Drosophila melanogaster: one gene and its partner. The gene in region 2 interacts genetically with the main gene of each other region. Each region holds a gene or a part of one and is shown on either strand. Other genes may lie near its edges.

The links. Genes that interact genetically often act in the same process or in processes that back each other up.
Region 1: of Smurf (region 2) and sog, changing one enhances a phenotype caused by changing the other (phenotypic enhancement), as found in Drosophila melanogaster (one study listed by BioGRID).

Annotation. Positions count from the first base shown.
Region 1 is NC_004354.4:15,630,342-15,635,430, reverse strand, and holds the start of sog (short gastrulation), read left to right. Parts: upstream 1-1,996; 5' UTR 1,997-2,622; intron 2,623-5,089. UniProt on the Drosophila melanogaster protein: Putative negative growth factor. Antagonist of dpp, a protein involved in patterning the dorsal region and in the development of the neuroectoderm; dpp inhibition is enhanced by tsg.
Region 2 is NT_033778.4:17,590,730-17,595,892, forward strand, and holds the start of Smurf (SMAD specific E3 ubiquitin protein ligase), read left to right. Parts: upstream 1-2,061; 5' UTR 2,062-2,583; intron 2,584-2,738; 5' UTR 2,739-3,120; coding exon 3,121-3,175; intron 3,176-3,236; coding exon 3,237-3,275; intron 3,276-4,537; exon of another isoform or gene 4,538-4,554; coding exon of another isoform or gene 4,555-5,163. Other genes in the region: icln, read left to right, coding at 304-422, 509-1,037; CG30105 (uncharacterized protein), read right to left, coding at 1,157-1,234, 1,299-1,688; ND-51L1 (NADH dehydrogenase (ubiquinone) 51 kDa subunit-like 1), read left to right, coding at 4,555-5,163. UniProt on the Drosophila melanogaster protein: E3 ubiquitin-protein ligase which accepts ubiquitin from an E2 ubiquitin-conjugating enzyme in the form of a thioester and then directly transfers the ubiquitin to targeted substrates.

The DNA.
Region 1 (5,089 bases), on a different chromosome or scaffold from region 2:
GGGGTCATTCCCGTCTCGTGTCAGCCGCTGGCCAAAAAGCCAAAACAACTAAAACAGCTTCAATATCAGCTAGCTAGTATGGCCCTGAAGATTCCAACCGAGTTGCTAATTTAGTAAATAACAAATTTGATAACAGTGCGAGCAACCTGGTTTATCTACTAATTGTTAGCCAAGCTAAGTGGCAGGGATTGGGCAAATTTTATTGCAAAAACTGATATAAAAAAGGTGAAGCCTTTTTGTCAATTAAATATGTCATTTGCTTTTTATATTTGCACATCTTATGGTGCCTGAAAATATTTTCATATGTAATTATTGAACATCTATTTCTTAGCAAGCTGAGGAGAATTATATCAGCAATGTCAAAATTATAATAATAATATTTTTACAGAGTATGCCAGTTTGTCTCGAAAGCTTGAAGTGCGATTTTGAATATATTCAGTACAATCAATTAGTAGCTTATGACACATTTTATATATATTATGAATATTTATAATATATTTATTTCTATTCAATGCACTTTTGTGCCAACGGAGCATTGCCCAATTTCCATCGAAATCGCAGCCATTTTCGAGCTTCTCGCCAATTTCCATCACGTTGCAGTCTCGATCGCTTCGAAATATATATGTAAGTTGGAAATTCAGAAACTCAGAAAAACAGAAATTCAAAAAGTCGGGACTGAGACTTTGACGTTCGATCGTGACAGAATATGAATTGAAAGGGAAACCAGATTGTTAGCACTCGACTATGGGTATAGAGATGGTAGAGGTACTGGGCATGTCCATAAGGTTGGATACCGTTGTGATAGTGTGTGTATTCATAGTTACACACATTATCGAGCCAGTGAAAATGTTCTACACAACTTTGCTATGCTAGTGACGACTATTTTTAGACGTCCAGCACCACAGCACTTTGTTGGCAAAAATGCAGTAACAAAAATAAATAACTTGGCCAACAGTTAGTTAGTTGTTGTTTGCCTCGCCCCGCCGCACTTTTTTTTTTTGATGGATCATCGCCGTCGTGACGTCAGCAAATGTTGTTTTGTTCGCTGCACCGAAGGCGCAAAAATATTCGGCATATTTGTGTTGATCTCTAGCCGTCAAGCGTCATGAAACGTAATGGATACAGCTCCTTCCGCCTGGCCACATCCACGGCATTGTGGGCTGTCCTAGGTTAGTTTTCACTGTACTCGAGTCGAGTGGGCGAGGCCAAACGCCTCACTAGCCGCCAATCCCGGGCACGATTGGGCTGCCAAGAAGCTTTTGGCTTCCATGGGAAGACAGCGAAAGCCTTTAAAATGCCAAGCTGCACTGGGAAAAAAAAAACAATGAAGTAATGTAATTGGTCATGAACGAAGCTTTTGTAAATATACGCATTAAGCGATTTCTTTAAAATATATATTTTTTTTTACTTATGTAATAAAACTATTTTAAACTGTTTTTTAAAGCTTATAAGTGAAAATAAGTTCCTAATTATTAGAAAACTCAAAAGTATTCATTATTCATTACTTTTTTATCCTGAAAAGTTGAAAAGGGTTTGCAAATAAAATGAATATGATGAGATATTATGATAAATCACCTTTAGTTTCTAATAAAGCTACCAAAAAAGCGTTCTAAAGATATCCCTCGGAACCAAATGTATCTGAAAGTCGTAATATCTTAGATCCTAACGTAATGCTCTTGGAAATGGCTTTCTGTGGCTACACATACACATACACATGGCTACACAGCGATTTGTCGCCGCCGTGGAGAGGAAAGAAGAGGAAAGGAGAGGAAGGGAGAGGAGAGTCCGCTTGGAGCTGTCTATGTCTATTTTGCGAAAGGGGGAGATGGTAAGGTGAGCGATGCCGGCGAGAGTGGGTGGCGACATTGGGAGCGGAGAGTGATGGCACCAGAGAGAGAGAGAGAGAGAGAGGGAGATCGAGTGAGAGAGCGAACCGCTATGTCTAGATCTAGGTCTATATGATTATATGCTGAAAACTTCAGTTTGTCAAAGATCGCGACGACCGAACGAACGACGCTAGAGAAACGCGCACCGAAATCGATGACCAATCCAAACGATAACGATTGCCAGCCCGCAGGAGTCATTTCGAAAATTGCGCGCGCGTTTTTGGCGACGTATTGCATATAAATCATATGTATATGTCCGCATATACATATAAACGAAACGAACATATAGAACATATATTTCCATATCTCGATATTCTATTTCATTGTTCATTGTTGCCCCTATTTTTTTTTTCTTGTGAAACGTATGTATGTGCGCGCGTCTGTGGAATGGTGCAATTACAGTCGTAGTTATTGGTTTTTAATGAACCTCTTAAATTGCCATTGAGGAACGTGAAAAGTGCCCGAAAGCCCGAAACGGAAATTATACTTTACACTCATGATTATTAGTTGTGGAAATTGCAGCTTAAATCGCCATTAATCGACACACACATATGGGCGTGGGTGAATCGTTAAATAGTACTCATAGTGATTGCACTGCTACACTGCGTTTCGGCATGTTAAGTCTGGCCGTTTTGAGAAGCAATAACTATTTAACCGAATTCTTCTATTGCCCTTTCAATAACTAAATAACACACAGCGACTTGGCAACGAAATGCTAGCTCTAGAACAGATGAAGGTAATGATAAGAGTGTCTCAACAAACAATACAATCCTGAAACGCACTGTACCTGCAACCTGAAAGCTCTTGCCCCTCTGGATTATAAGTCCGTCACTTTCGGTTTTAATGATCGCATTGAAATGGAATGTCATCGACCAATTTCAATTCTAATTCCATTCCGATTCCGATTCCGACCCAATATCGTCGAGATCGAGGCGACACACGCCCCAAAAACGAGACAATTACCCAGGAATGGGGCATGATTTCTTTTATTATTACTGTGTTTAGATCGAATCTGACGCCAAAAGGGCGACCTAAAAAAAAAAAAAAAAAAAAAACCAAGACAAGAAAAAACGTAATCACAAAGAATGGGAAAAATCAATCGAACATCGAACATTCGATGCGGACCAGTTGCAGAACGGCAAAGGGGGCAGATCGGTGGATAGCTGGGATAGATAGACAGATATATACATAGATATATAGATAGATAGATCGATCGATCGATCGGGCGATCGGGCGATCGGGCGGTCGGGCGAATGATGAAATTTCCAGAGCGTTTCAATAGCAACCGGCAACAGAAAGAAAAAGCAACACCGACCGACAACGAACCATTTACAATTCCAATCGAATGGCAATTGTTGCCGACTTGCAGCATGATTCAAATCGAGGGCGTGACAGAGGAAATGGGGCGGGGGGTAAATACCTAGATTACCGTACTCGATGACGCAGCCCAGGTATGTGTAGGTACTCTCGATCGCTTGAAAGTCGACAGATACTCGCAGTATCTAGCGACAGTGATGAAGAGTTTAACTGCGCTCGGAAAATCCATCATTATCATGCCGCTGATATGATAACCAACCATTGAAATGGCTAAGCAACAATCTGTTAGTAAGATTGTATGGTGTTTTATTTCGATCATTAAGCTAAACTAAAACTTCCATCACTTAGTTCAAACTTTAGCTTGTCTCACGAATCCCATTCCGTCCATCAATTGATCAAACAATCGATCGCCGGATCGTTTGAGTTTGTTTGATCGTTCGATGATCGCGACAACAAGAAGAAGACGACCAAAATTTAACGATGTTGGCCAGTTGGCTAACTGCGGTTTTACTGCCACTTTACGTGCTGCTGTTTTGTCTGGCAAACAAAACATTCGCACACACATGACACACACACGGCACACATGACGTATACGCGATATTTTTGGCCTGCTCTCGCACAGAAACAGAAAGACATAGTGCGAGTGCGAGTGGGACGGGTGGACTGGCGAAGGGAGAAAGAGCTACACGGAATCTCTGTTGCTAGGGTGGCAGTTTGTATGGGGGGTTAGTCAGCTTATAAATAATGGAATATCATCTAGGTGCTTTCTGAGTGCCGCAAACTATGGTGAACTTTCGTACGATGGAACCTCCGGAAAATTACTCAATCGAATCGCACACAAATTTCCCGGAAATCTTATATTTCATTTAATGCTTTTAAGATTTTTTTAAGAACTTTGAACTTAGTAGTTGGTCTCCTTTCAACCTATTCACTTTTAATTTGTCCACTGTTTCTAACTGATTCACACAGATGTCTCAAATGATTGGACCTTCTGGCTTCGATGACCATCAAATCAATTGCATGTGACTGCAGTGAAATAGTACTCAACCACACACGCATAAGTGCATATTTATGTAGTACACTTGAAGAAATTGCATTGAACAAATAATTACAAAAGGAAAAAATATTTTAGGCAGTACGATTTATGGAAAATGCAAATATTTCTAGATTGAAAAAAAAACTTACTTTTCAGCTGTTTTGGCTGTTTAAACTAATGAAACACACCAATATTGATCTTCAACGTCTCCGAACTGTTTTTCGAAATCAAGAAAAGAGAATTTTCTCTCAGTGTGCGCATACTTTCTGGCCTGTTATGCAGTCAAAAGCCGTCACTTTGCCGCTTCTGTTTCATTTGATGTCTTTCTGTGTGCGTTTGCCGTTCGCCATTTGCCATTTGCCATTTAAATGAATGCAGGCAATTTTGCGCTGGTGGCTGCTGTTTTTGCTGCTGTTGTGATTTGCTTTTGATTGGCATCTAATTTATGATTGACAGTTACATTAGAAACATCTCGGAACAGCAAACAATCAGAATCGGGCCTACCGCAAGATCTCGCCAAGGCATCGAAAAAGCATCGCCAGTTGAAGCATCGAAGAGCTGAGACCTTATGGTCGGATATCGACTTAGCTCACGGTTGTCAATCAAGCTATTAAATAATTTACAAACAAACAAACACACACGCGAACACACACATTACATACATATAAGCACACACACACAGCACGCACACATAGATGAGCAGCACACTGAGAATCGAATTTATGAACTAACATCTTGATTTACGTAGTCTTCGCTGGCTGAATGCGGTTTGAAGCTTTGACACCTTGACGGGCATTGTCAAAGAGTTTCACACTCAGCGGCACTCGCACACACCGGCTACTGTTCTATC
Region 2 (5,163 bases):
CACAATTACGTACTACGTTTTTATCTTTTTTTGACAAAATTGTTCCATTCTTTATATATCTATTTCTAAATTCAACAGTGGTAAGAAAGAAGTTGTCCTCCGAGAACACCTGTTCTGATGATTCTACATTCAAAGAAGGAAAATACATCAGAGCGTTGCCAGAGTCCAGCTGTCTCTCCTAGTTATTGCCACCCTTGCCAGACTTTCAAAAGGGGGACGAAAAAATGGTACTCAACACTGCATTTTTGCAAGTTTTGTTGTTTGATCGCGCTTTTTACAATTAATTTAACAAGCTGTATTAAAATGGTTCTTATTATGCGTGTTTCCCCGCCGGAACATGGTCTGTTGTATACGGCAAACAATATCAAGCTGAAACTAGGCGACAAAGTGGTGGGCGAAGGCACAGTTTACATTGCCCAAAAGTGAGCGCTTTAGAGCTTTGCCGGTGTCTGGTATTGCTCTCTATTTATTAAAATCTTTTAAAGTAACTGTTATTTCTTGTTCCTAGCACGCTATCCTGGCAGCCAACTGAATTGGCGGAGGGTATATCCATTGAGTGGAAGCAGGTTAGCCTGCACGGTATCTCTTCGAATCCGAGAAAGTGCATCTACTTCATGCTGGACCACAAAGTCGAGTGGAACGGCGTCTACGGAGATCCTCCCCAGCAGGCAGTCAATGGTCGGAATGGCGGTGGTTCGGAAGCGGAAGTGGACGAGGGAAATGGCAGCGATGAGCACGATGAGGACGACAATTTCGAGGATGCCGTAGACGAGCAATTTGGAGAGGTCACAGAGTGCTGGCTTATGCCGGAGGACATTCACACCGTAGACACTATGTACAGTGCCATGACGACTTGCCAGGCCCTACATCCTGATTCGGCAAACAGTGATTCGGAAGACAGCGATCCTATGCAGGATGCCGGTGGCTTAGAGGATGAGGCTATGGAGGAGGATGATGCATTGACGCTTGGGCGCAACGGCGTGCAGAATCTCAGTTTGGACGACGACGAAGAGCGATTCGAGGACGCTGATGAGTGAAGCATAACCTATTTAAACATCAATACCACGTTTTATACCAGATAAAATGTACGATATATATGTATTGGATTAGATTTTGGAGTAATAAATAGAACGCGGTAAGCGCGATTAAAACAAAACTACGTGCTTTCCTTGACGTTTTCCTTATTACGAGCGATTTCTTTCTCTAAATCCTCTTCGCTAATGGGCTGCGAGAGCTAAATAAATAAAATGTGGTATTTATTAGGTGTACTTCGAGAATATATAGTGGTATATACATACAGCTTGAGCAACATCCGGCAGAGGAAGGGCCTGTCGGTAGGGATCGCCATTGGACGGCACTTTGTCGTAGTTCCAGTAAGTAAAATCTTGAAATACTCCAGTTAGCCGCAACTTTCGGTCGGAGGTATCGCTGATGGGCTTCTCTGTTTCTTGCAGAACTAATCCGCAGTATCCTTCGGGCACTTTCAACTTCTCTCCCATTAAAGGAAATCCGCGCAAGGCGTTCGTCAGGATTCCTGTGCCGAATTCGGTTGCTTCACGTGTGTAGTTGTTGAAGTAATTTTTTACATTCGCTTCCCCATCGCCGTCTATTTTGGCCGGCAAGTAGTGCACGTCTAAATTCTTACCCTTGGCAAAGTTCTTACCATTAAAATCTAGAGTAATTGACATTGTTACTTTTTGCGCAAAATAAAAGGTAAACAAAAACTCCGCCAAAATGTGTTTGTTTGTTTGCGCTTAAGAAGGATGGTTTGAGTAGCAGCTAAACTCATCGATTTACAACCGATAGCCAATAGTAGTTTAATTCGATAGTAACAATATAACAAAAACATACAATTATATTGTAAATCAAAGCTTGTAGATGGTAACGAGATCACTGTTTACCATCACTGAACAAGTTTTCATGCTGTTTTAAATTTAGTATCTGACTACATACGTATTATATATATATATTTGACAATATGCGATGTTTTCCAAGAATATTAGCACTAAAAAATCGATAGTATAAGAGAGTAATCGATTTTTCACTCAGCACTAGACTTTGTGCCACCACTAATAAAAATGGCGTTCGAAGTTGTAGTTAAATTTTTATGGGAATCCGTAAAACAATAGCGCGTGAGGCCGCGGCAGCATAATTCGCGCACTATCAAGCGTTCCGTGGACGAGCAACTGTGTGGGCGTGCGTTGTTCGCAGAGTTTTCGTCCGATTTTTAGTGAACTAGAACAATACAAGTGTGCCTCCTTTGATTATTATTGCAAATTTTAGTACCACACACACTCGCGCACACATCGATAGCGAAGGAAATACTAGTGCGAGTAAATAGTGTGGCACCCATACTGGAGCAGCGACTAAATTAAAGTTAATTAAACACACAGTGGTATTTCATTTAATGCAATTTGTGAAATAATAGAGTGGCAGAGGGAGAGAGACAGATCGAACCCCGCTCCCGCTCTCCCCTGCAGCATGCGTGAACTGCGTCCGTGTGTGTGTGCGTGAGAGAGTGAGCGAGACATGTGCGTGTGAGGTGCAGCAGCAACAACAACAACACCAGCAAAACAATTTCGGGTGAGTTTTTCGTGAATATTTTGCCTACCTGAACGATTTCCTACCTACGCCCTCGCTTTTGGGTTGGGTTTTTGCACTTGGGGGGAAAATACACACATTATCTCTAACGAACTTACTAATAATACCCATTTCCATTTGTTATCTTTGGATTGCAGCCTATAAAAAAAGCAAATCGGTGTTATTATTTATATACAAATATATCTATGTGCGTGTGCCATGACACACAGCAACAAACGCAAAAACTACAACAATTGCAACCGTCAAGGCTACCGCCACAGCAGCAGCAGCAACAATAACAACTGCAGTTACCTTCGGCAATGAAATTACCTCTCACCGCCCTCACCTGCTCCTCCTACACCTCCTTTGCTTCCTCTCCTCCACCTTCTACTTGCACTTCTTCTTCTTCGCTCTCCGTTCGGCGCTTTAACGACAACAACAACTACAACAACATGCCCGCGACATATAAATAATCAATACACAAAGTAAATCCATTTATTTTTATACAAATCAAACAATATCAATTAAAAGTCGAAAATTATGAATAAATTGGATTACCCACGTCGCAATGGTACACACAAAGTTCGAATAACGAGTAAGTCTGCTGATAAAAACAATTGTTAATAAAACCCACTAATATATCGCTTTACTTGCAGTATTGTGTGCTAGAAACTTGGCCCGCAAGGATTTATTTCGTAAGTATTTTAATATTAATTGGATATATCTTAGCATCTAATTTCCTTAGTGCCTATCACCTATCCGTCAAATAGGACGGTCTAAATTAGTTCCTAAAGCAGAACTTCCGGTCATCAAAAGCATAAAAGTTTTACCCTGTACTTCTTAATCGTTAGTGTTATAAAATATTAAATGTAACAGCAAAAAATTCCTTAAAACTATTTACCCAGCATGCCTTTGGCGTAATCACTTATTTTCGTAATTTGCTCACATGTTTGGGCTAATTTCTTGACTCACTTTTGGTTAGTTACGGGAAATTTGGAGCAGTTGGCATTCGCCAGACCCAGCAAGCTTTGTTTTCACGTTTGGTTTTCTTTTCGAAAACCATCAATTACGCACCTGTTTAGCCGTCCAATCGAAACACACATTGTGGTAAATTAAAGTTTTGTTTTATTTGCGGCGCTTGTGGTGCTGCTGTTTCCTCTTCTTCACATTCATCTATGCATATAAGGTATCGCTAAATTTAGCACTTCCTTTCTTGTCTACTTTCATTTTTATACAAATTGCGGAAAAGCCCCCTCCCCCCATCGCGCCCATCAAGTCGAGTGGGTGAGTGCGAGTGGTGCGCCATATCTGAGCTCTTTTCCCATATTTTGTTAGATATAACAAAAGTGATTATTACTAATTTGCTTTCATTGCGGCTCACTCACTCGCTCGTCCACAAATACAATCGCAATATTTTTTCTTTCTGTGTATTTGTGATTTACTATTCGCTTTTTCCACTTCTTGTCCATTTTTGTACACTTGGTTGCACTTAAATCACGCGCCACGCATTGTTCAATGTGCTACTAAAAAAAAAAAAAAAACATTCGATGTTCCTTATCCGTGAGATTCCAATAGGGGGATATTTGGGTTTCCGAAAATGGGTCTGTGGCCGCTGGTGTCACTTCAAATGAATTGTTTATTAATGCTAATGCTTGAATTCCGTGGTTGACTACAGAATATGGCGCATTCATTTGCTATTTTCCCTCTACTACCATATACATTGTACACTAGTAGTTGGTTCTTCATATTTTATCGATTCTTTGTGATAAGATTTTAGTTGAACCCAGCGGGGCTTACGGTCATTATAGGGAAAATCCATAATGGGACTTTCCGATATTCGTTATTGTGAGTAATGTAAACTTTTTTAACATATCAAGTTCGAAAAATGTGGAAGTAGTATGCTTTGAATTTTCCTTTGATTCAACACACTTGCCAAAGAGTTCAGTTAATCAGATAAAGAATATAGACGAAAGCATGATATCGTTTCTGTTAAAACGCCGAGCTTGTGATGCTTACAAGATTTCATTAGGACTAACTCGTGCATATAGAGCCTTAACAGAAGTAAAAAGCCTTCAAAATGCCTTACGACCTGGTAATAAAACTGGAAATATCAAGCTGGTAAACATATACCGAACTTCTAGCATACAAAATGTGAAGAAGAACCAACTAAGTGACGCTGAAAGCGTTATTCCACTCTTATTGCGGCCAGCCAAACCTGTGCTGATTATGAGAGAAGGATCTCAAACCGATTGTAACGACGATTTGCTGTCCTCTGAGCAAAGAGCCAAAAAAAGGGAAAGCATAAAAAAATCCGAAGTAGATTGCCCAAAATTTCCAGCTGAGAAACTTCCGCCCACAACGAAATTTCCTATTAATGAAAATGCCAAGAAGGTTTTAGATCCAGCCGACCAAAGAGAACTCGAGGCCAATTTGTTAAAAAGGCTTAAAGATATGGCTAAAAGAAAGAAATCTCGACTAGATGAGAAAGTTGACGAGCTGAGGGATAATTTTATAGGCTGGAATTATGCTGCTCTACAAGGAAGAACTATTGTGACTGTGGATGCCAAGGAATCAACTCCACCG